2 linked regions of the Anolis sagrei genome follow. The protein of the gene in region 1 interacts with the protein of each later gene in a pairwise test. Links are inferred from orthologs where the notes say so. Each region holds a gene or a part of one and is shown in the gene's direction. Other genes may lie near its edges.

What was found.
Region 2: the proteins of STX16 (region 1) and VAMP5 interact in binary tests that used the Homo sapiens proteins (3 or more experiments, as listed by UniProt). The two-hybrid records come from large-scale screens. The link is inferred for Anolis sagrei from reciprocal best matches to the Homo sapiens genes STX16 and VAMP5.

What each region holds. Positions count from the first base shown.
Region 1 is NC_090024.1:228,572,043-228,582,361, forward strand, and holds the start of STX16 (syntaxin-16), read left to right. Parts: upstream 1-5,975; 5' UTR 5,976-6,651; coding exon 6,652-6,783; intron 6,784-10,319. UniProt on the Homo sapiens protein: SNARE involved in vesicular transport from the late endosomes to the trans-Golgi network.
Region 2 is NC_090027.1:22,922,818-22,934,071, forward strand, and holds the start of VAMP5 (vesicle-associated membrane protein 5), read left to right. Parts: upstream 1-6,540; 5' UTR 6,541-6,739; coding exon 6,740-6,742; intron 6,743-11,254. UniProt on the Homo sapiens protein: May participate in trafficking events that are associated with myogenesis, such as myoblast fusion and/or GLUT4 trafficking.

The sequences.
Region 1 (10,319 bases):
TCAGATTCTGACCAGGCTACAACAGAATGACTGTCAAAGTGGATACAATGTTCTGTACTTCCATTCATGCTTTATGTCAGTTCTCTTGAGTGCAGATTCTGTACTGACAAGCTTTCTGGCTGGAAAGAACAAACCATTGTTAATTTTGCCTTCAAACCTGGATCGTATTTCTAATCTGGTCTTTGGAGTAGCAAAGCGCACTGGGCTCTGAACCCACGTGTTAGCAATTAGCAGACATCACTGACTGACAACTGGGCACCAAACAGGGAATAAGGCATTTTACTGTCACCTTATAGTGCTTTGATACCACTTTACCTGTCTTGGCTTCATTCTATGTCATCCTGAGATCTGTAGCTTCACGAACTACTTGGAATTCTCTGGCAGAGAGTGTAGTGTCTTGCCAAAGTACAAATCCCAGGATTCCATAACTATGAGAATTAAAATGGCATCAAAATGATACTCAGAACGAATTATACAAAACAGAAGACACTGCAAATTTATTGTATAAAAAGGCAAGAAAAAGAAACACAATTACTGCAAAACAAATCAGGCTGATATTAGTTGAATCTATACTTCACAACATCCAAACAACAACTCTTTCTCTTGCTTATAGATTGTTCCCACTTGTGAATTATACAATATAAATGATGCTTCAGCAAAATAAAGGAATTGGAATATCAAGAGTTTCATTTGTTTGCATTACCCAGTAGCACCCTCTACAGTCATTTCAATGCTGCAAAAAACATGTATGAAGAGGAAGCCATGCATTAACAGCCAAAAGAAGTTTTGTTCACTTTTTTTTTAAGGATGGGAAGCATCAGTTGTTTAAACTTGCATTATATGGCAGTGTAGATGGAGTCACAGTCCCAAACAAAGCCTGGACTTTTCTGAAGTGACATGTTACATTTCTGAATTTGGGCCTTGACCAAAGCAAATGTACAGTCCTACCATTGGCTCTGTGCACAACTATTCATTCCTTGTCTGTTCTGGCATCTGGCTTTATGTTCCTGGATCCATTTGATTTCCCACATATTGCTACTTATGACTCAGGACTGACTTTAAGCCAAAAGCAGCAAAAAAGAGACAACTTACTCGCTCACTCGCTTCCAATAGTCATGCTGTGCATTGTCACATTTTTACTCAAGATTTGGCTGGACATTCTAAGAATTGTTCCTGTAGCATCCAAGTTAACAAGGTGCTAAAGCACAAAACACAGGTAACATGAAGACATATATATCTGTCTGTTTGTTTTGGCATATTTTTTGAAGTCTATCTGACCCCTGGGAATTGTCCACTTCCATTAATCTTTTTAGAATAGAATATTATGCTGTAGAATCATAAAATCATACAATTGGAAGAAACTACATGGGCCATAGAATCCAACCCCCTGCCATGTAGAAAAAGCATGAAGTATCCCTGACAGATGGCTATCCGGCCTCTGTTTAAAAGTTTCCAAGGAAAGAGCTTCCACCTCACTCTGAGGCAGAGTTCTGAAATACAGCAATTTTAAATGGCCACAGATAGTGAGATCCGAGCCGCGGATAATTAAACCTGAAGTGCAGGTACCAAGTTCCAATACTTGGTTACAGGTAATGGCAACAGGCCGTCCTGTAGGCCCATGCACCTGGAGAGACAAAGAAGTCCAATATTCTTAAATAAATCTCACCAAGTTGAAGAAGTAGCCACTGACATGTTTACTGAAATCAGCTGAAGTGATGCCAGCCTGCGATAATCCGCCAAAGTAAACTGAGATACCAAACATTGCAAATCATACATTTTTATACACTTTAACCCTCTGAAAATCCGTCTCCCGCCCAGCTGGACCTGGCTTCGCCAATGACGTTGGAATAGCTGTGGGAAGATTCCTTGCAGAGACAGGACTGTGGCACTCGCTGGTCAATAGGAGAGCATTCCCCACTCTCAATGCAGATAGTCGCTCTCCTAATGAGGGGTTGGTTAGTCCAGAAGACAAAGGTGCTGAAATGTGTTCTGAATGGATTATCGGGTCCCTGCCAAGAGATAAACAAAGGGGGGCGCATTTGGTCTCATGAGTGTTTATTGTTAAGATGATTGCCATCTGAGTCCCCAGCGAATGGATCCAGCGTCTCTGGCACTGTTATCCACAGAGCCAAAAGCAGAAATATTGTTCATGCTGATAGGATTAAGTGGTTTGTTCCTCAGAAAGGGGAAATGTCATTGTTGGAGATGGGGCATGCTCCGCTGGCATACTGGATGATCATGCCAGGTGAAGAATAGTATTGCTATGTCCAAGTGACTGGGACAAAGGATGGGCAGCCCAGCACATGGATCCTATCATCATCTGCTCAGTCGAGGGTCTATGAGGCCAGTATAGATGGACTGTCCTGAAGGTGATGGGTGATTGAGTTGTTCTTATGTAGATGATGCTCAGGAAAACAGCTGGATGCTGGATGGACTTCTCGGGTCAGGAAATGTGGGCAAAAGATCGTCACAAAGACTTGGTTGGTGGTATGCTTCTCCAAGAAGGATTTTATGTTGAGACATAAAATATAATATAGTAATGGCGCACAAAAAAGTTCCATGGATATCGAGGGAACCCTGTGAATGGATAGTTAGATAAATATTCATGGGGAAGGGAAGATGTATACAAGAGATCTGTGTATATCTGGGGAAACCAAGCGACTGGGTAGGTCTCAGTATCCATGGGGAAGGTTAGCATTGACACGGGGTTACTTGGGCAAAGTTTAAGTAAATGCAAGGGGAAATGGGAAGGAGAGTTCTGCTGCTAGGGCCGTGGAGGGCTGTGGGTCATGTGGCCCAAGCAAACACTTGGCCGACTGCAGACTGCAGAAGCGAGTAAGAAAAGGACTCAGAGAGCAAAAATAGAGACGGAGAGGCAAAAATTAAGGATAACCAGGTTTATTTAAGGATTAGAAACCATATAACTAGTAGTAAGGGGAACATTGAGGCAAAAAGTTTCAAAAAAGGTCTCCTGGGCGCCAGTAGCTGCTGCTGGGCTTCTTCCTACATCCCCAAGCTAATTCCTTGATCCCCGCTGTGGAACTCTTTGCTGCAGTGCCAACTTTATCAATTTAGTATTTTGACCCCCAGGGAGGGGGAGGGGTCTATGCTCGGCAACAGTTCTTCCGTTGAACAGCTCATACGGTCAGGAAGTTCTTTCTAATGTTCAGGTGGGATATCTTTTCCTGTAATTTGAGCCTATTGCTCCAAGTCCTAGTCTCCAGGGCAGGAGAAAACAAACCCGCTCCCTCTTCCTTATGACATCATTTCACATATTTATACATGGTTATCATGTCTCCTCTCAACCTCTCCAGTAGGCTGTTAGGAATTGTGGGAGTTGAAGTCCAAAACACCTGGAGGGCCCAAGTTGGCCCATGCCTGGCCTAAATCCATGCTAAAGATTTATTAGTTAGGCTGTTAGGAATTGTGGGAATTGAAGTCCAAAACACCTGGAGGGCCCAAGTTGGCCCATGCCTGATCTACACTGTAGAAGTTTATTTGTTGTGTCAGAGCAACCAGTCCATTATATTACATTTCTAACAGAACAAAGCAAACAAACAGACAAATACAAAACTTGTGAGTTTGGTAGTTGGTTAAATGTCCTTTGACCAGTGTCTGGCCACTTGGAGTGCCTCTGGTGTTGCTGCAAGAAGGTCCTCCATTGTGCATGTGGCAGGGCTCAGGTTGCATTGCAGCAGGTGATCAGTGGTTTGCTCCTCTCCACACTCGCATGTCATGGGTTCCACTTTATAGCCCCATTTCTTAAGGTTGGCTCTGCATCTCGTGGTGCCAGAGCGCAGTCTGTTCAGCGCCTTCCAAGTCGCCCAGTCCTCTGTGTGCCCAGGGGGGAGTCTCTCATTTGGTATCAGCCATTGGTTGAGGTTCTGGGTTTGAGTCTGCCACTTTTGGACTCTCGCTTACTGGTGTGTTCCAGCAAGTGTCTCTGTAGATCTTAGAAAACTATTTCTAGATTTAAGTCGTTGACGTGCTGGCTGATACCCAAACAGGGGGTGAGCTGGAGATGTCTCTGCCTTGGTCCTTTCACTATTGGCTGCTACTTCCCAGCGGATGTCAGGTGGTGCAATACTGGCTAAGCAGTGTAATTTCTCCAGTGGTGTAGGGCGCAGACACCCCGTGATAATGCGGTATGTCTCATTAAGAGCCACATCCACTGTTTTAGTGTGGTGAGATGTGTTCCACACTGGGCATGCATACTCAGCAGCAGAGCAGCACAGCACAAGGGCAGATGTCTTCAATGTATCTGGTTGTGATCCCCAGGTTGTGCCAGTCAGCTTTCGTATGATATTGTTTCTAGCACCCACTTTTTGCTTGATGTTCAGACAGTGCTTCTTGTAGGTCAGAGCACGGTCCAAAGTGACTCCCAGGTATTTGGGTGTGTTGCAATGCTCCAGTGGGATCCCTTCCCAGGTAATCCTCAGAGCTCGGGATGCTTGTCTGTTCTTAAGGTGAAAGGCGCATGTCTGTGTTTTAGATGGATTAGGGATCAGTTGGTTTTCCCTGTAATAGGCAGTTAGAGCACCTAGAGCTTCGGAGAGCTTCTGTTCAACCATCTCAAAGCTCCCTGCTTGAGCAGTAATGGCACGATCATCAGCACAGATGAAACTCTTTGTCCCTTCTGGCAGTGGCTGGTCATTTGTGTAGATGTTGAACATGGATGGGGCAAGCACGCTCCCCTGAGGCAGGCCGTTCTTCTGTTTCCGCCATCTGCTTCTCTGGCCCTGAAACTCAACAAAAAAGCTCCTGTTTTGTAGCAGGTTTCCTATGAGGCGGGTGAGGTGGTAGTCCTTTGTGATATTATACATTTTTCTCAGGAGGAGGCGGTGGTTCACAGTATCATAAGCCGCTGACAGGTCTATGAAGACAGCTCCTGTGATCTGCTGCCTTTCAAAGCCATCTTCTATGTGCTGAGTCAGGTTCATCACTTGCGATGTACAGCTTTTGCCTTTTCTGAAGCCAGCTTGCTGTGGGATCAGACAGGGGTCTATTTTTTCCATAATTCTATGCAAAATAAGTCTCTCCTGTAGAGACTGTAGAAGTAATACAGTTTAACACCACCAGAACTCTCAGGATTCCACAGCATTGAGTGATGCCAGGCTGCATTCACTTTACTGTGTGCAATCCCCAAACTTTGGTCCTTGGAGTGTTTTGGACTTCATCTCCCAGAATGCCTGATCAAGGGACAGGCTGCGTTAGGCTTCTGGGAGTTGAAGTTCACTTTTTGTTTGATGTTCAGGCAGTGCTTCTTGTAGGTCAGAGCATGGTCCAAAGTGACTCCCAGGTATTTGGGTGCGCTGCAATGCTCCAGTGGGATTCCTTGCCAGGTGATCCTCAGAGTTCGGGATGCTTGTCTATTCTTAAGGTGAAAGGCGCATGTCTGTGTTTTAGATGGATTAGGGATCAGTTGGTTTTCCCTGTAATAGGCAGTAAGAGCACCTAGAGCTTCGGAGAGCTTCTGTTCTACCGTCTCAAAGCTCCCTGCTTGAGCAGTAATGGCAAAATCATCAGCATAGATGAAACTCTATGAGTTTCATCTAAATCCATGCTAAAGATTTATTAGTTAGGCTGTTAGGAATTGTGGGAGTTGAAGTCCAAAACACCTGGAGAGCCCAAGTTGGCCCATGCCTGGTCTACACTGTAGAAGTAATACAGTTTAACACCACTACAACTCTCAGGATTCCACAGCCTTGAGTTCAGGATTCCACATCACTGAGTGATGCCAGGCTGCATCCACTTTACTGTGTGTAATCCCCAAAGTTTGGTCCTTGGTGTGCTTTGGACTTCATCTCCCAGAATGCCTGATCAAGGGACAGGCTGCGTTGGGCTTCTGGGAGTTGAAGTTCAAAGCAACAACTGCGCCTCTCTCTCCTTCCTCGTTTCCCTACATCCGGTCCTGGAACCGCCCGGAACTATTCTTCCTCGGCTCCTTACTGCGCGGGGGAAAGTTTTTCCCGGGGCACAATGCGGAAGTGAGCTGTGCTGAAGGGGTCAGAGGCAGATCCATCCGGGGCCGGGGAGAGGAAAGATGAGGGGTGCTGGAGGGGGCCGAGAATAGGGCTCTGCCTTGTCCCAGAAGGGATTATTCAAGGAGAGGAGCCTTCAGGGTGCCTTTAAGGGTCATGGTTTCCAAAAGATCCAGATATGAATCAAGGACTTTGTCCTAACTTAGGAATTGGTGGGGAGAGGGATAGAGGAATGGCCTCTGGATTGTTTTGGTTCAAGGGGATCTCTTGGATGCCCCTGTAATTCTTCCTAAATCTTCTCAACCTTCTGCTTTAAAAGAAGTCCAGATTTTGTCTTGAAGGAAAGCTCCTTTAGGGGTCTATAGAGAAAGAGAGAGAGCACACTTTTTGTGGAATTCATAGTTTATTTAGTGGTTTAGTCCTGATTTTTTTAAGGGGGAAAAGCTAACTTAAGGATCTGGGGGAGAGAAAGATAGAGGAAAAGGCCACAACTTAAAGGAGGGATCCTTTTCATGCTCCTTTCATGGTTTCCAAATCCTCTCAACCTTCCACCTGAAGGACTTTACACTGAGAGGAAGCCAACTTGGGAATCTGGCCCACCTGTGGGAAGCATAGGTTAATATATTTGGGTTTTTGGTGATTAAGGGAGTCCCTTAAGAAGCCTAGCGCCATGGCCACCCGGCGTTTAACAGACGCGTTCTTGTTGTTGCGGAACAACGCGATCCAAAGTCGGCAGCTGCTGGCTGAGCAAGTGAGTAGTTACAGCTCCAGCCCTCTGACTTCACGTAGCATGGCTGCTGCGGTGAGTCCCCCTTCGTCCTACTGTATCCCACATTTCGCTGTTTTTAGAATTGTCTGATAGCAAGCATCTCTCTCTCGCTCTGTATCTCTCTTTGTTTCCTCTCTCATACTTTCCTCCCTCTTCTGTTTATTTATTTTACTTTGGGGGCCCTGGTGGTGCAGTGGGTTAAACCACTGAGCTGCTGAACTTGCTGACCGAAAGGTTGGCGGTTCAAATCCAGGGAGTGGAGTGGGCTCCTGCTGTTAGGCCCAGTTATTGCCAACCAAGCAGTTTGAAAACATGCAGATGTGTGTAGATCAATAGGTACCGCTTATGCGGGAAGGTAATGGCCCCCTGTGGCGCAGTGGGTTAAAGCACTGAGCTGCTGAGCTTGTTGATCGAAAGGTCACAGGTTCAATTCCGGGGAGCGGCATGAGCTTCCTCTGTCAGCCCTAGCTTCTGCCAACCTAGCAGTTCGAAAACATGCAAATGTGAGTAGATCAATAGGTACCACTCCGGCGGGAAGGTAACGGCGCTCCATGCAGTCATGCTGGCCACATGACCTTGGAGGTGTCTACGGACAACGCTGGCTCTTCGGCTTAGAAATGGAGATGAGCACCACACCCCAGAGTCAGACATGACTGGACTTAATGTCAGGGGACTACCTTTACCTTTAATGGCACTCTATGCAGTCATGCTGGCCACATGACCTTGGAGGTGTCTACAGGCAACGCCGGCTCTTTGGCTTAGAAATTAAGATGAGCCCACCCCCCCAGAGTCGGACATGATCAAACTTAATGTTAGGGAAACCTTTACCTTCTTTATACTGTATTTTTCCCTGCTCTATCTCAAGCCCAAAGGGGGCTCAGAGCAGCTTCCAAATTGGCAATAATCAATACAGCAATAAACATAAACATACAAATACAATATGCATTATACATTGAAATCAACAAAAAAATCATAAAAACCATAACATGTTTATTTTCTCCATAAGGATTTGTTGCATTAAGAGATTCATTCCCCCAGGTGGGGTTTTTCATTCTGTTATGGGACTTGCCTGTTATGAAGTTATGTAGAATGAATGCAGCTTGACACCTCTTTAACTAACAAGCAAGGAAAGAGGCAGTGCAGCCTATGCCCCCAAACTATATTTGATCCCTGATAATGTCCCAACCATCTTCCCTTTTTTCGGTGTTTCAAAAACATGGAACCTTGATCTATGCCTGTTCTCGCCGCCTATTGTTTTGTTATTGTTATTTTTAAAGCTAATTGTATTGTTTTAATCTGCTTCTGTAAACTGCTCCGAGCCAAATTGGGAGTAGCGGTATACGAGATAAATAAATAAATAAATAAATAAATAAATCTACATGGGCTTTAAAGGAAACCCTCTTAAGGTGCTTCTGTACTATTGAGTTAATGCAGTTTGGCACCCCTTTGGCAGAGAAAACTAAACCTTGCAGGACAACAACTCCCATGATTCCATAGCATTGAGCCATGGCAGTTCGACTGGTGTCATACTGCACTCATCCTACAATATAGATCCGGCATGGGCAAACTTTGGCCCTCCAGGTGTTTTGGACTGTTAGGAAGGCTGTTAGGAATTGTTGGAGTTAAAGTCCAAAACACCCAGAGGCCCAGAGTTTGCCCCTGCCTGGTGTAGATTTTTTCCCCTGGGGAAAGAGTGCTGAGAGTATTTTGGCACATGCATTTCTGTCAGCATTTTTTAAAAAATGATAAAGGATAGTGATTATTATAATTCAAAATGCCCAGAGGGTGTAAATTTCTCTACCCATTGTCATATTTGCTTTTTAAAGGTAAGCAATGTCAAACATGCTTAGAAGCAAATAATTTTTGTTCCTGTGTATTCTTAACAAGGACTTGTAGCCAGTCACAGCTCCATGATGGGTGCAGGTCTTCAATAGTGTGTGTTATATTCCTTACAAATAGCTAAGGACACCTTTATTTTGTAGCTGACAGGAGGGAAGGTATGGGTCTTTTGGTGGCTGCAAGTTTCACTCAGGTTTTCTACCTTTTGCATTGCATTTGGAAGGGAGGTGAACTGGTTTTCTTTTCATTTTCTTATTTTGTACTCCTTTATTTAATGTTTATCCTGCCTTTCTCCCAGTACAGGATCCAAGGTGGCTTACAATTTATGGTAAAACAAATTGAAGGCCCATGATGGGGGATCCCATGATAGGATTGCAATAAGTTGGAAATAGCTTGAAGGCACAAAATAACAAAAACTGTGAAGTACAGTGTCCTCTAGAACATAGACATGTGATTGTATCCCTTCAGATGTGTTCTTGGCTTAAATTGGGAATCATTTGTAGCCAACATAGACAAGTATGATGGATTGTAATGAAAAGTTGCCATGTGTGCGAAATTTGTTCCTACCGTTTCATTTGTGTCAAGCCAAAATCTCCTCCTTGCCTGCATTTGGGCAGGCCTGGCTCTAGGCTGCAGGCACACTCTGGGCCTGTTTGCAGGCCCCACCACACACTCTCTCTCCGAGAATGTGGCGGGGCCTGTAGGCTGTCTGCATGCCCTGCCACACACTCTCCGAGTGTGGTGGGGCATGTGAGGCGGCTGGCGGGACCTGCAGGTTCACTCTGGACCTGCCTGCAGAGGAGCAACAGCGGGTGCCAAGTAAGGAGAACTTCAGGAAGAGGTGCCAGTGGATGGGAAGCCCCCCCCCCCCCCCCCAATATTGGTCCAAAATTCGGTGTCCCAATCCAAAAATACATCCCGATTTCGGGAGGCTTTCGAAAACAGATTGGGGGTCGCAATGAAAGCTGGGGTGCAAAACTGGGCAAGGTTTGCCCTGAAAGCACATGAGTAGTCAAAAGACATCTTGAAGGCCACATCTGCCTGCTTCAGAGACAAGTAAGCTTTCTGAATGGGCTACATTCCTTCAGAGCAGGCCTGCACCACTTTGTCCCTCCAGGTCTTTTGGACTTCAGCTCCTAGAATTCCTGACCATTGAACAGGCTGGTTAGGGCTTCTGGAAGTTGGATGCCCAAACACCTGGAGGGCCGCAGGTTGTACAGGCCTGCTTCAAAGTAATCTTAGCAGGCTTATATGCCTGTAATGTGTGGTTCTGAAGTAAAAAGTGGACAGAGCCAGAGCCAAAAGGAAATATATCTATTTGCCCCATCTGCCATTCATATAACTTTTAGGAAAAGTCAGATTGCTCTTACTGAGTCAGGTTACACATAGGGTACTTTTGGAAAGGTTGTTATTATTATTGGCAGCTAACAAATATAATACACCAAATACAAATTTAAAATAAGTCAAATACTTAAAAAAATGAAACATTTATTTATTTATTTATTTATTATTTATTTATTTGTAGGTGGATATGAAAGTTAATATACAAGGAATACCATTAAAATTTATTCAAAGCCCACAATCCCCCCTCCATCAAAGCCCACACACAACCTTCCTAGCAGTTTGCACCTCATCCACAAAGAAATGTCTTAATTACTTGTGGAAGGCCAGCAGGGATGGGGCCATCCTGGTCTGTCTTGGGAGGGAGTCCCACAGCCTAGGAGTAGGAA
Region 2 (11,254 bases), on another chromosome or scaffold:
CGGATTCCTTTGGGTTGACCTCTCCGGCCATAAATAGTTTGGTTAGCTCTCTGCCAGACACCACTTTTTGGACTTGGAAGCACTGGGAGGAAAACATCTCTTGGTTCACTCAAATGAACTCGCAAAATGTCTTCCCACGCTCCTGTGATTATTACTTTTTTCTACTTTTTCCCTTTCTCTTCTTTGCAGGATTTTGAATTATTATTATTGACACAAAAGCACAGTATGTCACAGCAAACGAGATCTATATGCTGGATTTCATGTCACAAAATCACAAGTCGAACACTTCCCAAGCGTCTAGGACAGTGTGATGTATTTTCGAATGATGTGCGCAGATCCAAGTCAGGTGGCCTTTTGCAGTTGACAGGTCGTGATTTTGTCGATGTTTATTGTTTCCAAATGCCGGCTGAGATCTTTTAGCATGGCACCCAGTGTGCCGATGACCACTGGGACCACCTGTACTGGTTTATGCCAGAGCCTTTGCAGTTCGATTTTGAGGTCTTGAGAGCGGCTGAGTTTTTCCTGTTGTTTTTCCTCAATGCGACTGTCACCCGGTATGGCAACATCAATAATCCAGACTTATTTCTTTTCCACAATCGTGATGTCTGGCATATTGTGTTCCAAAACTTTGCCAGTCTGGACTCGAAAGTCCCACAGTATTTTTGCATGTTCATTTTCCATGACCTTTGTGGGTTTTATCATCCCTTTACCAATTCTTTACTGCTGGCAGGTGGTACTTGTGACATAAGTTCCAGTGAATCATCTGGGCCACAGAATTGTGTCTTTGTTTGTAGTCCATCTGTGCAATTTTCTTGCAACAGCTGAAGAGATGATCCATAGTTTCATCAGCTTCCTTGCACAGCCTGCATTTTGGGTCATCCGCTGATTTTTCAATCCTGGCCTTAAATGCATTGGTTCTGATAGCTTTTTTCCAGGGCTGCAAGAATCAGGCGTTCTGTCTCCTTCTTCAGGGTTCCATTCAGGAGCCATAACCAGGTCTTCTCCTTGTCAACTTTTCCTTCATTCTTCTCAAGGAACTGCCCATGTAAGGCTTTGTTGTGCCAGCAGTCAGCTCTGGTTTGTTGTGCAGTTTTCTTGCACTGACTCTTTGTCTGCTGTGCTTTGAGAAGTTTCTGATTATTGACTTCAATTAAAGCAGGTTCTTGGCTTTCCTTGACATATTCTGCCAGGGCGTGTTTTTTCTTCTTTGACTGCTTGTATTATTATTATTATTATTATTATTATTATTATTATTATCTTTATTTATACCCCGCTAACATCTCCCGGAGGACTCGGTGCTGCTTACAAGAGGCCAAGGCCAACACATCAATAAAACAACAGTATAACAAATACAACAATAAATAAGCTCATAAAAAAAACAATAACATTAAAACAACAGCAATAACCATTAGACAATAACACCACAATGCATTTAAAAACTGAGGCTGGGCCAAATGTAATGGATAAAAATTTAAAAAATGCTGGACATGACAGGTGAAGTGCGGTCATAGGTGCGGTGTGCGGACAATCTTAAATCTCTAGTAAAGTGCATTTGGGACATGATGCTAGGAGTTTCCTATTCAGGGAAGGCACACTGGAACAGCCACGTCTTCAAGCTCTTCCTAAAGACTGCCAACATTAGGGCTTGTCTAATATCCTTGGGGAGGGGGGGGCCACCACAGAGAAGGCCCTGTCCCTCATCCCCACCAAACGCGCTTGCGACGCAGGTGGGATCGCGAGCAGGGCCTCTCCAGATGATCGGAGAGATCGTGTGGGTTCGTATATGGAGATGCGATCACGCAGGTAGGCGGGTTCCAAACCGTTTAGGGCTTTGTAGGTAAGTACCTGCACCTTGAATTGGGACCGGAAGATGAATGGCAGCCAATGGAGCTCCTTAAACAGGAGGGTTGACCTCTCTCTGTAAGGAACACCAGTTAACAACCTGGCTGCCACCCGTTGGACTAGTTGGAATTTCCGGGCCGTTTTCAAGGGCAGCCCCACGTAGAGCGCATTACAGTAGTCCAATCTTGAGGTGACCAAGGCATGGACCACCCTGGCCAGATAAGCCTTTTACTTGTAAAAGTCCTCTGCCACCAGACTTTCTAGGCAGATAGAGCTGGTCAACATCACTGCGAGGATGTAGTGAATTATGAATGGTCATGAGTTTTCTTGTTTTTCTGTCCAAATTGTCCAGTTCTGCCTGTGTCCAGTTTATGATGTCAACAGTATATCTTATGACAGGTATGGCCCAGGTATTTATGGCCTTGATGGTATTGCCTCCACTGAGCTTGCTTTTGAGAATTTTTCTGACCCTTTGAATGTATTCTTTGCTGACCATGTTCATGTTTGATGTTGTCCAGCCGTAGTATGCCCAGATATTTATAGGCCTCTGGCTGGTGACACTTGATCGCTTGGCCATTGGGAATATTATAAAGTATTATTATTATTATTATTATTATTATTATTATTATTACTATTATTATGGTCAAAGGACATTTAGTACAATGCCAAGTTTTTTATCTTTGTGTTTTTAAATATATTACAACTGTACCCTCGGTTTGCTTCTGATGTGATAAATGTTGTTGTTGTTGTTGTTGTTTCCTGCTCTTGAGTGAGATCTAAACGAGGCTCACTGAGCGCACAACTGGTAACCTTGAACTCGGTGAGAACAGCAATTTAAAAAGGCCATAAAATTGTGTTTTCTGTTGAATAGAATGCACTCAGAGCTGTTTTGCAAACTCAAACCTGTTTCTTTCTGCTGTGGAAAATCACAACCGACTCCTTTTTTGAGCTGGGAGGGCCCTAAATTCACTGGGAGCAGCAAAGTCCATAAAAAGACAATGAGAAAAATTGGTCCTTCACGTCACATAGCTTTTAAACCAGTGGTTCTCAACCTGGGGGTTGCGACCCCTAGGGGGGTCATTAGACCATTTTGGGGGGTCGCGAAGCTGCCTTGGTTGGCCCCAGCCCTGCTAAAATAGCTACTGACCCTTGCCATTTGGGCAAGGGAGAGCTGCCCAGCACCCGTGCCGTTCCGAGTTCGGAAGGGCGCGGGGGCCAGGCGTAGGACTACCCACACGGCCTTGCCATTTGGGCAGCCTTTCTGCCCGGCCCCCCGCACACCCTTCCGAGCTCTTTGATGGCAGGGGAGCTATACATCACAGTAGCTCCCAAATGCCAAGATCTATTCACCTCAAACTCCACCAGTATTCACATTTGGGCATATTGAGTATCCGTACCAAGTTAGGTCCATATCCATCGTTGTTTGAGTCCATAGTGCTTTATGGAGGTAGGTGAACTACAACTCCAAAACTCAAGGTCAATGCCCACCAAACCCTTCTAGTATTTTCTGTTGGTCATGGGGGTTTTGTGTGCCAAGTTTGGACCAATTCCATCATTGGTGGAGTTCAGAATGTGCTTTGTTTGCAGATGAACTATAAATCCCAGCAACTGCAACTCCCAAATGTCAAGGTCTATTTCCCCCAAAGTCCACCAGTGTTCAAATTGGGGCATATTGAGTATTTGTGCCAAGTTTGGTCCAGATCAGAGGCGGCCCTAGGTAATTCCCAACGGTAAGCAAACAGGTCCTTGTGGGTTTTTTCGGGCTATAGGACCATGTTCTAGAGGCATTTCTCCTGACGTTTCGCCTGCATCTATGGCAAGCATCCTCAGAGGTAGTGAGGTCTGTTGGAATTAGGACAATGGGTTTATATATCTGTGGAATGGCTGGGGTGGGGCAAAGAGCTTTTCTCTGCTGGAGCTAGGTGTGAATGTTTCAACTGACCACCTTCATTAGCATTTGAAGGCTTGGCTGAGCCTGGGAAAATCTTTTGTTGAGAGGTGTTAAGATGTACCTGGTTGTTTCCTCTCTGCTGTTTTGCTGTTGTAATTTTAGAGTTTTTAAATAGAGTTTTTAAATATTTTTTTAAAAGCAAACAGTATTTTGCCCCCCCCCCCCCCAACCAATCACTGATATATATTTTCTGTTCGTTGTGGGAGTTCTGCATGCCATATTTGGTTCAATTCCATCATTGGTGGAGTTCAGAATGCTCTTTGATTGTAGGTGAACTATACATCCCAGTAACTACAACTCGCATATGTCAAGGTCTGTTTTCCCCCAAGAGCGCCTCAACAGCGCCCCTGGGCAAAATCAACTATACTGTAAATGCTTACTTTGCGTAATGGGTTGAGCAGCCCCTGGTCCAGATCCATCTGCAATACTCTCTGAATGCAGATGAACTACAACTCCAAAACTCAAGGTCAATGCTCAACAAACCCTTCCAGTATTTTTCGTTGGTCGTGGGAGTTCTGTGTGCCAAGTTTGGTCCCATTCCTTCATTGGTGGAGTTCAAAATGCTCTTTGATTGTAGGTGAACTATAAATCCCAGCAACCACAACTCCCAAATGACATAATGAATTCTCCCTCCAACCCCAACAGTATTCAAATTTGGGCATATTGGGTAAGATAAGGTAAAAGTTTTCCCCTGACATTAAGTCCAGTCGTGTTCAACTCTGGCAGTTGGTGGTCAATTTCTAGGCCAAAGAGCCGGTGTTGTCCATAGACACCTCCAAGGTCATGTGGCTGACATGACGGCATGGAGCGCTGTGGTTGGGTATTTGTGCCAAATTTGGTCCAGTGAATGAAAATACATCCTGCATTTCAGATATTTAAATTATGATTCATAACAGCGACACAATTACAATTAGGAAGTAACAATAATAATAATTTTATGGTTGGGGGTCACCACAACGTGAGGCACTGTATTAAGGGGTCGCGGAAGCAGGGAGGCATCAAGAAAGGAAACAAGGGGCCCCCAAACAGGAAGGAAAAGAGGAAGAGGAAGCGCAAGGGAGCCAAAAGGAAAGAGGAACAGGATGCCCTGCAAAGGAAACAATAGCCTCTTTTGACAAGTGACTTTTCCATTCTGCTATTTCTAGCACAGCTATGTTTACATATATCTAACCTTTCTTAGGCCCCTTCTTCACTGCCATATTAAATCCAGATTGTCTGCTTTGAATTGGATTATATGGCAGTGTAGACTCATATAATCCAGTTCAATGCAGTTAATCTGGATTAACTGCTTTGATAATCTGGATTATATGGCAGTGTAGACTCATATAATCCAGTTCAATGCAGATAATCCGGATTAACTGCTTTGATAATCTGGATTTTTATGACAGTGTAGACTCATATAATCCAGTTCAATGCAATTAATCTGGATTAACTGGAGCCCCCGGTGGTGTAGTGGATTAAACCCCTGTGCTGGCAGGACTGAAGACTGACAGGTCGCAGGTTCAAATCCGGGGAGAGCGCTGATGAGCTCCCTCTGTCAGCTCCACCTCCTCATGCGGGGACATGAGAGAAGCCTCCCACAAGGATGATAAAACATCAAAACATCCCCTGGGCAACATCCTTGCAGATGGCCAATTCTCTCACACCAAAAGCGACTTGCAGTTTCTCAAGTCACTCCTGACATGACAAAAAAAATCTGGATTAATTTCTTTGATAATCTGGATTATATTGCAGCGTAGACTCATATAATCCAGTTCAATGCAGATTTTCTGGATTAACTGCTTTGATAATCTGGATTATATGGCAGCGTAGACTCATATAATTAAGTTCAATTCAGATAATCTGGATGAAGTGGTTTGATGATATGGATTTTATGGCAATGTAGACTCATATAATCTAGTTCAATGCAGATAATCTGGATTAATTGCTTTGATAATCTGGATTATATGGCACTGTAGACTCATATAATCAAGTTCAATGCACATAATCTGGATTAACTGCTTTGATAATCTGGATTATATGGCACTGTAGACTCATATAATCAAGTTCAATGCAGATAATCTGGATTAACTGCTTTGATAATCTGGATTATATGGCACTGTAGACTCATATAATCAAGTTCAATGCAGATAATCTGGATTAACTGCTTTGATAATCTTAATTTTATGGCAGTGTAGACTCATATAATCCAGTTCAATGCAGATAATCTGGATTAACTGTTTTGATAATATGTATTTTATGGCCGCGTAGACTCATATAATCCAGTTCAATGCAGATAATATGGATTAACTGCTTTGATAATCTGGATTTCATGGCAGTGTAGACTCGTATAATCCAGTTCAAAGCAGATGATCTGGATTGACTGCTTTGCTAATCTGGATTTTACGGCAGTGTAGACTCATATAATCCAGTTCAAAGCAGATAATCTGGATTAACTGCTTTGATGATATAGATTTTATGGCAATGTAGACTCATATAATCCAGTTCAAAGCAAATAATCTGGATGATCTGGTTTTACTCTAGTTTTCCAGTGAATATTTCCTCTAGTTTCAACCAATGCAACATAGTCTGTGCAACTAAAACAAAGTTTCAAAATTAAGGACTGTACCATGAAACAGGAAATAACACCTTCAAACCAGGAACAGACCCCTTTCCCAACAATTCTGTTACTTCATCGTGGAATCATTACAACCTAGAGTGGGAAGGGAACCCCCAAGGCCATCCAGTCGGGCCCCTTCCTGCCATAGAGGAAGACACAGTCCGAGCCCTCCCTACAGACGGCCATCCAGCCTCTCGGGAGAAAGCCCTCCTTCCCGAGGGAAGCAAGGGGAGGGTCCAAGCAACGAAGGAGGGCGAAGGGGGCGGACTCAGGAGGAGACTGAGGAGGAGGAGGAGGAGGAGGAAGGAGGACGGAGGACCTTCAGTCTCTTCGCCTCCGGAGCAGCCATGGTGAGTGTTGCTATGATTGCAGAGGCTGGATGGCCATCTGTCGGGAGGGTTTTGATGGTGTTTCATGACAGAAAGAAGAGAGTCAGGCTGGGTGGCCCTTGGGGTCCCTTCCACCTCTAGTATTCTATTATTATTATTATTAGTAGTAGTAGTAGTAGTAGTAGTAGTATGCAGAGGATGAATGGCCATCTGTCAGGAGGGTTTTGATGGTGTTTCATGACAGAAAGAAGAAAGTCAGGCTGGGTGGCCCTTGGGGTCCCTTCCACCTCTAGTATTCTATTATTATTATTATTATTATTAGTAGTAGTAGTAGTAGTAGTAGTAGTATGCAGAGGATAAATGGCCATCTGTCCGTAGGGTTTTGTTGGTGCTTTTCTTGCATAATGGCACAAAGAAGGGTGTTGGGTGGATGACCTTTGGGAGTCTCTTCCAACTCTAGCCTTCTATGATGATGATGATGATGATGCAGAGGCTGAATGGCCATCTGTCAGGAGGGTTTTGATTATGCTTTTCCTGCATAATGGCAGAAAGAATGGGGTTGGGATGGGTGGACCTTGGGGTCCCTTCCAATTCTAGTATTCTATTATTATTATTAGCAGTAGTAGTAGTATTATGCAGAGGATGGATGGCCATCTGTCAGTAAGGTTTTGTTGGTGCTTTTCCTACATAATGGCACAAAGAAGGGTGTTGGGTGTATGACCTTTGGGAGTCCCTTCCAACTCTAGTCTTCTATTATTATTATTGGTATTATTATTATTATTATTATTATTATTATTATTATTATTATTATGCAGGCTGGATGGACATGTCCGGAGGGTTTTGATGGTTCTTTTCCTGCATAATGGCAGAAAGAAGCATCTTAGGATGTGTGGCCTTTGGGGTCCTTTACAACTCTAGGATATTATTATTATTACTACTATTATTATTATTATGCGGAGACTGGATGGCCATCTGTCAGAAGGGTTTTGATGGTGCCTTTCCTGCATAATGGCAGAAAAAAAGGGGTTGGTCTGGATGCCCCTGGGGTCCCTTCCAACTCTAGCATTCTATGATATAGATTTCAGACACAGGCTGGTGCCAGGAGAGCTTTGATTGTGTTTTTCCTGCATAATGGCTTATTATTATTATTATTATTATTATGAATGGCAGAAGGGGGTTCTGCTGGAAGGCTCTTGAGGGGGTGACTTTTCCAACTGTAGGATTGTACAGTTCTATTATTATTATTATTATTATTATTATTATTATTATTATTTACACAACCTTATTATAATCATCATCAGTATGCAGAGGCTGAATGGCCATCAGTTGGGAGGGTTTTAATCATCCTTTTCCTGCATAATGGCAGAAAGAAGGATGGGATGGGTGGCCCTTCAGGTCCCTCCCAAAACTAGCATTCTATTATTATTATTATTATTATTATTATTATTATTTAGACTGGATGGCCATCTATTGGGAGGATTTTACTTCCTTGTAGATTGGGATTAAACTAGATATCTCCTGGGGTCCCTTCCAACTCTAAGATTCTGTAGTTCTATTATTATTATTATTATTATTATTATTATTATTATTATTATTATTACTGTTGTTAATGCAGAGGCTGAATGGCCATCTCTCAGGAGGGTTTTGATTGTGGTTCCATTGTAGATTGGGTGTTGGAGTAGATGTTCCCTGCGTGTCCCTTCCAATTCTAAGATTCGATAGTTCTATTATTATTACTATTATTATTTCTTCAGAGGTTGGATGGCCATCTGTCAGGAAAGTTTTGATTGTGCTTTTATTCCATTGTAGATTCGGGTTGGACTAGATGTCCCCTGGGTGTCCCTTCCAACTCTTTGATTCTATAGTACTATTATTATTACTCTTATTATTTATACAGAGGCTGGATGGCCATCTGTCAGGAAGGTTTTGATTGTGCTTTTATTCCATTGTAGATTGGAGTTGGACTAGATGTCCCCTGAGGTCCCTTCCAACTCTAGGATTCTATAGTTCTATTTTTACTACTATTACTATTATGGGCATCTGTTGGGAAGGTTTTGATTATGCTTTCCTGTCTGGCAGAAGTGGGTTAGAGTGGATGACCTTTGGGGACCCCTTCCGACTCTCGGATTCTCGGACTCCCATCTTCCTCAGCCTGGAAGACTAGAAATATGGTTGGGCAAGGCAGGGGCCTTCTCCAGCCCAAGGGATTTTCACTTTCCTTTTCTAGTAACTAGATCAGGGTTATTGCCAGGCATGTTTCAAATAGGAACTTGCATCAGATCAATCCAACCGTTTTGTTATCTCAATAATTCCAATGTGCCATCCAGAAAGAACAAAGTACAACATGAGGAATGAATGCGGTTTGGCCCCACTTGCAGCTCCTCTGGCTCAGTGCGATGGGATCCTGGGAGTTGTCCTTTGCAGAGAAGATGAAAAATCCTGTAAGACTGCAACTCCCATTATTCTGCAGACTTTGGGTTATTACTCATAGGAAAATTGGATCCCAACAGCTTTGTTCATAAAGCTATTGTCTTCCCAACCCTGCTATACACCTGCGAGATGTGGACTGTCCACAGACATCACACGCAACTCCTAGAACGATTCCATCAGCACTGCCTCCAGAAAATCCTGCAGATCTCTTGGAAAGACAAGCAGACAAATGCTAGCATCCTGGAAGAAGCAAAGACCACCAGCATTGAAGCGATGGTCCTCTGCCATCAACTCCGCTGGACCGGCCACGTTGTCCGGATGCCCGACCACCGTCTCCCAAAGCAGTTGCTCTACTCCAAACTCAAGAATGGAAAATGGAATGTTGGAGGACGGGAAAAGAAATTTATAGATGGGCTCAAAGCCAACCTTTAAAACTCTGGCATAGACACTGAGAACCGGGAAGCCCTGGCCCTTGAGCGCTCCAGCTGGAAGTCAGCTGTGACCAGCAGTGCTATAGAATTTGAAGAGGCACGAATGGAGGGCAAAAGAGAGAACTGTGCCAAGAGGAAGATGTGCCAAGCCAACCCCGAGCAGGACCACCTTCCACCTGAAAACCAATGCCCTCACTGCGGGAGAAGATGCAGATCAAGAATAGGGCTCCACATTCACCTACGGAACCATCGCCAGTACACCAATCTTGAAAGACTATCCTACTCAGACAATGAGGGATCGCCTAAGTAAGTAAGTAACTAAGATTGGTCGGCCACTCAGCCAAGCAGAGGGCTGTTTCTGAGACTCCAGGCAGGGAGGGGAGAGCAGACGTGCTCGGTGCATGGCAGCATGATGCGCTCGTGCAGGCAAGGGAGAGTGTGAGGCTGGAGGAGGCTCGTGCCAGCAAGTCCTTTCAGGGCATAGGTGTTCTGTGTTGGAAGTTTCACCCAATTCTGTCACTGGTGTGTTACAGAATGCTCTTTGATTGTGGGTGAACTATAAATCCCAGCAACTATAATGCCCAAATGTCAATGTCTGTTTTCCCCAAACTACACCAGTGTTCACATTTGGGCATATTGTGTATCTCTGCCAAGTTTGGTCCAGATCCATCATTGTTTTGAGTCTACAGAGATCTCTGGATGTGGGTGACAACTCCCAAACTCAAGGTCAGTGTCCACCAAACCCTTCCATGATTTTCTGTTGTCCATGGGAGTTCTGTGTGCCAAATTTGGTTCAATTCCGTTGTTGGTGTATTTCAGAATGCTCTTTGATTGTAAGTGAACTATAAATGCCAGCAGCTACAACTCCCAAATGTCAAGGTCTATTTCCCCCAAACTCCATCAGTATTCACATTTTGTCATACTAAGTATTTTTGCTAAGTTTGGTCCAGATCTATCATTGTTTGAATCCACAGTGCTCTCTGGATGTAGGTGAACTACAACTCCAAAACTCAAGGTCAATGCCCACCAAACCCTTCCAGTATTTTCTGTTGGTCATGGGAGTTCTGTGTGCCAAATTTGGTCCAATTCCATCATTTGTGGAGTTCAGAATGCTCTTTAATTGTAGGTGAACTATCAATCACAGCAATTACAACTCCCAAATGACAAAACCAATACCCCCACAACTACACCAATATTCTAATTTGGGTGTATTGGGTATTTGTGCCAAATTTGGTCCAGTGAGTGAAAATACATCCTGCATGTCAGACATTTACATTATGTTCATAACAGTAGCAAAATGACAGTTATGAAGTAGCAATGAAAATAATTTTCTGGTTGGAGTCCCACAACATGAAGAAGTGTATTAAAGGGAAGGTTGAGTAACGCTGCTCTAGGGAAAATGCTCTGCAAAGTATCAAGCAAATACCTGGTGCATTTAATGAACTTTTCAGACTCAATTAGCAGCTGTTTGGGAGGAAGGATGTGGTCTTCCTCTGCAGAAGAAGTGCCCAAGTCCCAGTGAGAGGGGCCTCTTTCTCGACTCCTTTGCCAAAGGGACTCCACCCACCTGAGATCTGTGTATGTGTATGTGCATACATACACATACACAAAGACTCTCTGAAGAAAGCACATATGGAAAAGGTTATCCTGGAATGCAAAAATTCTTTGCACC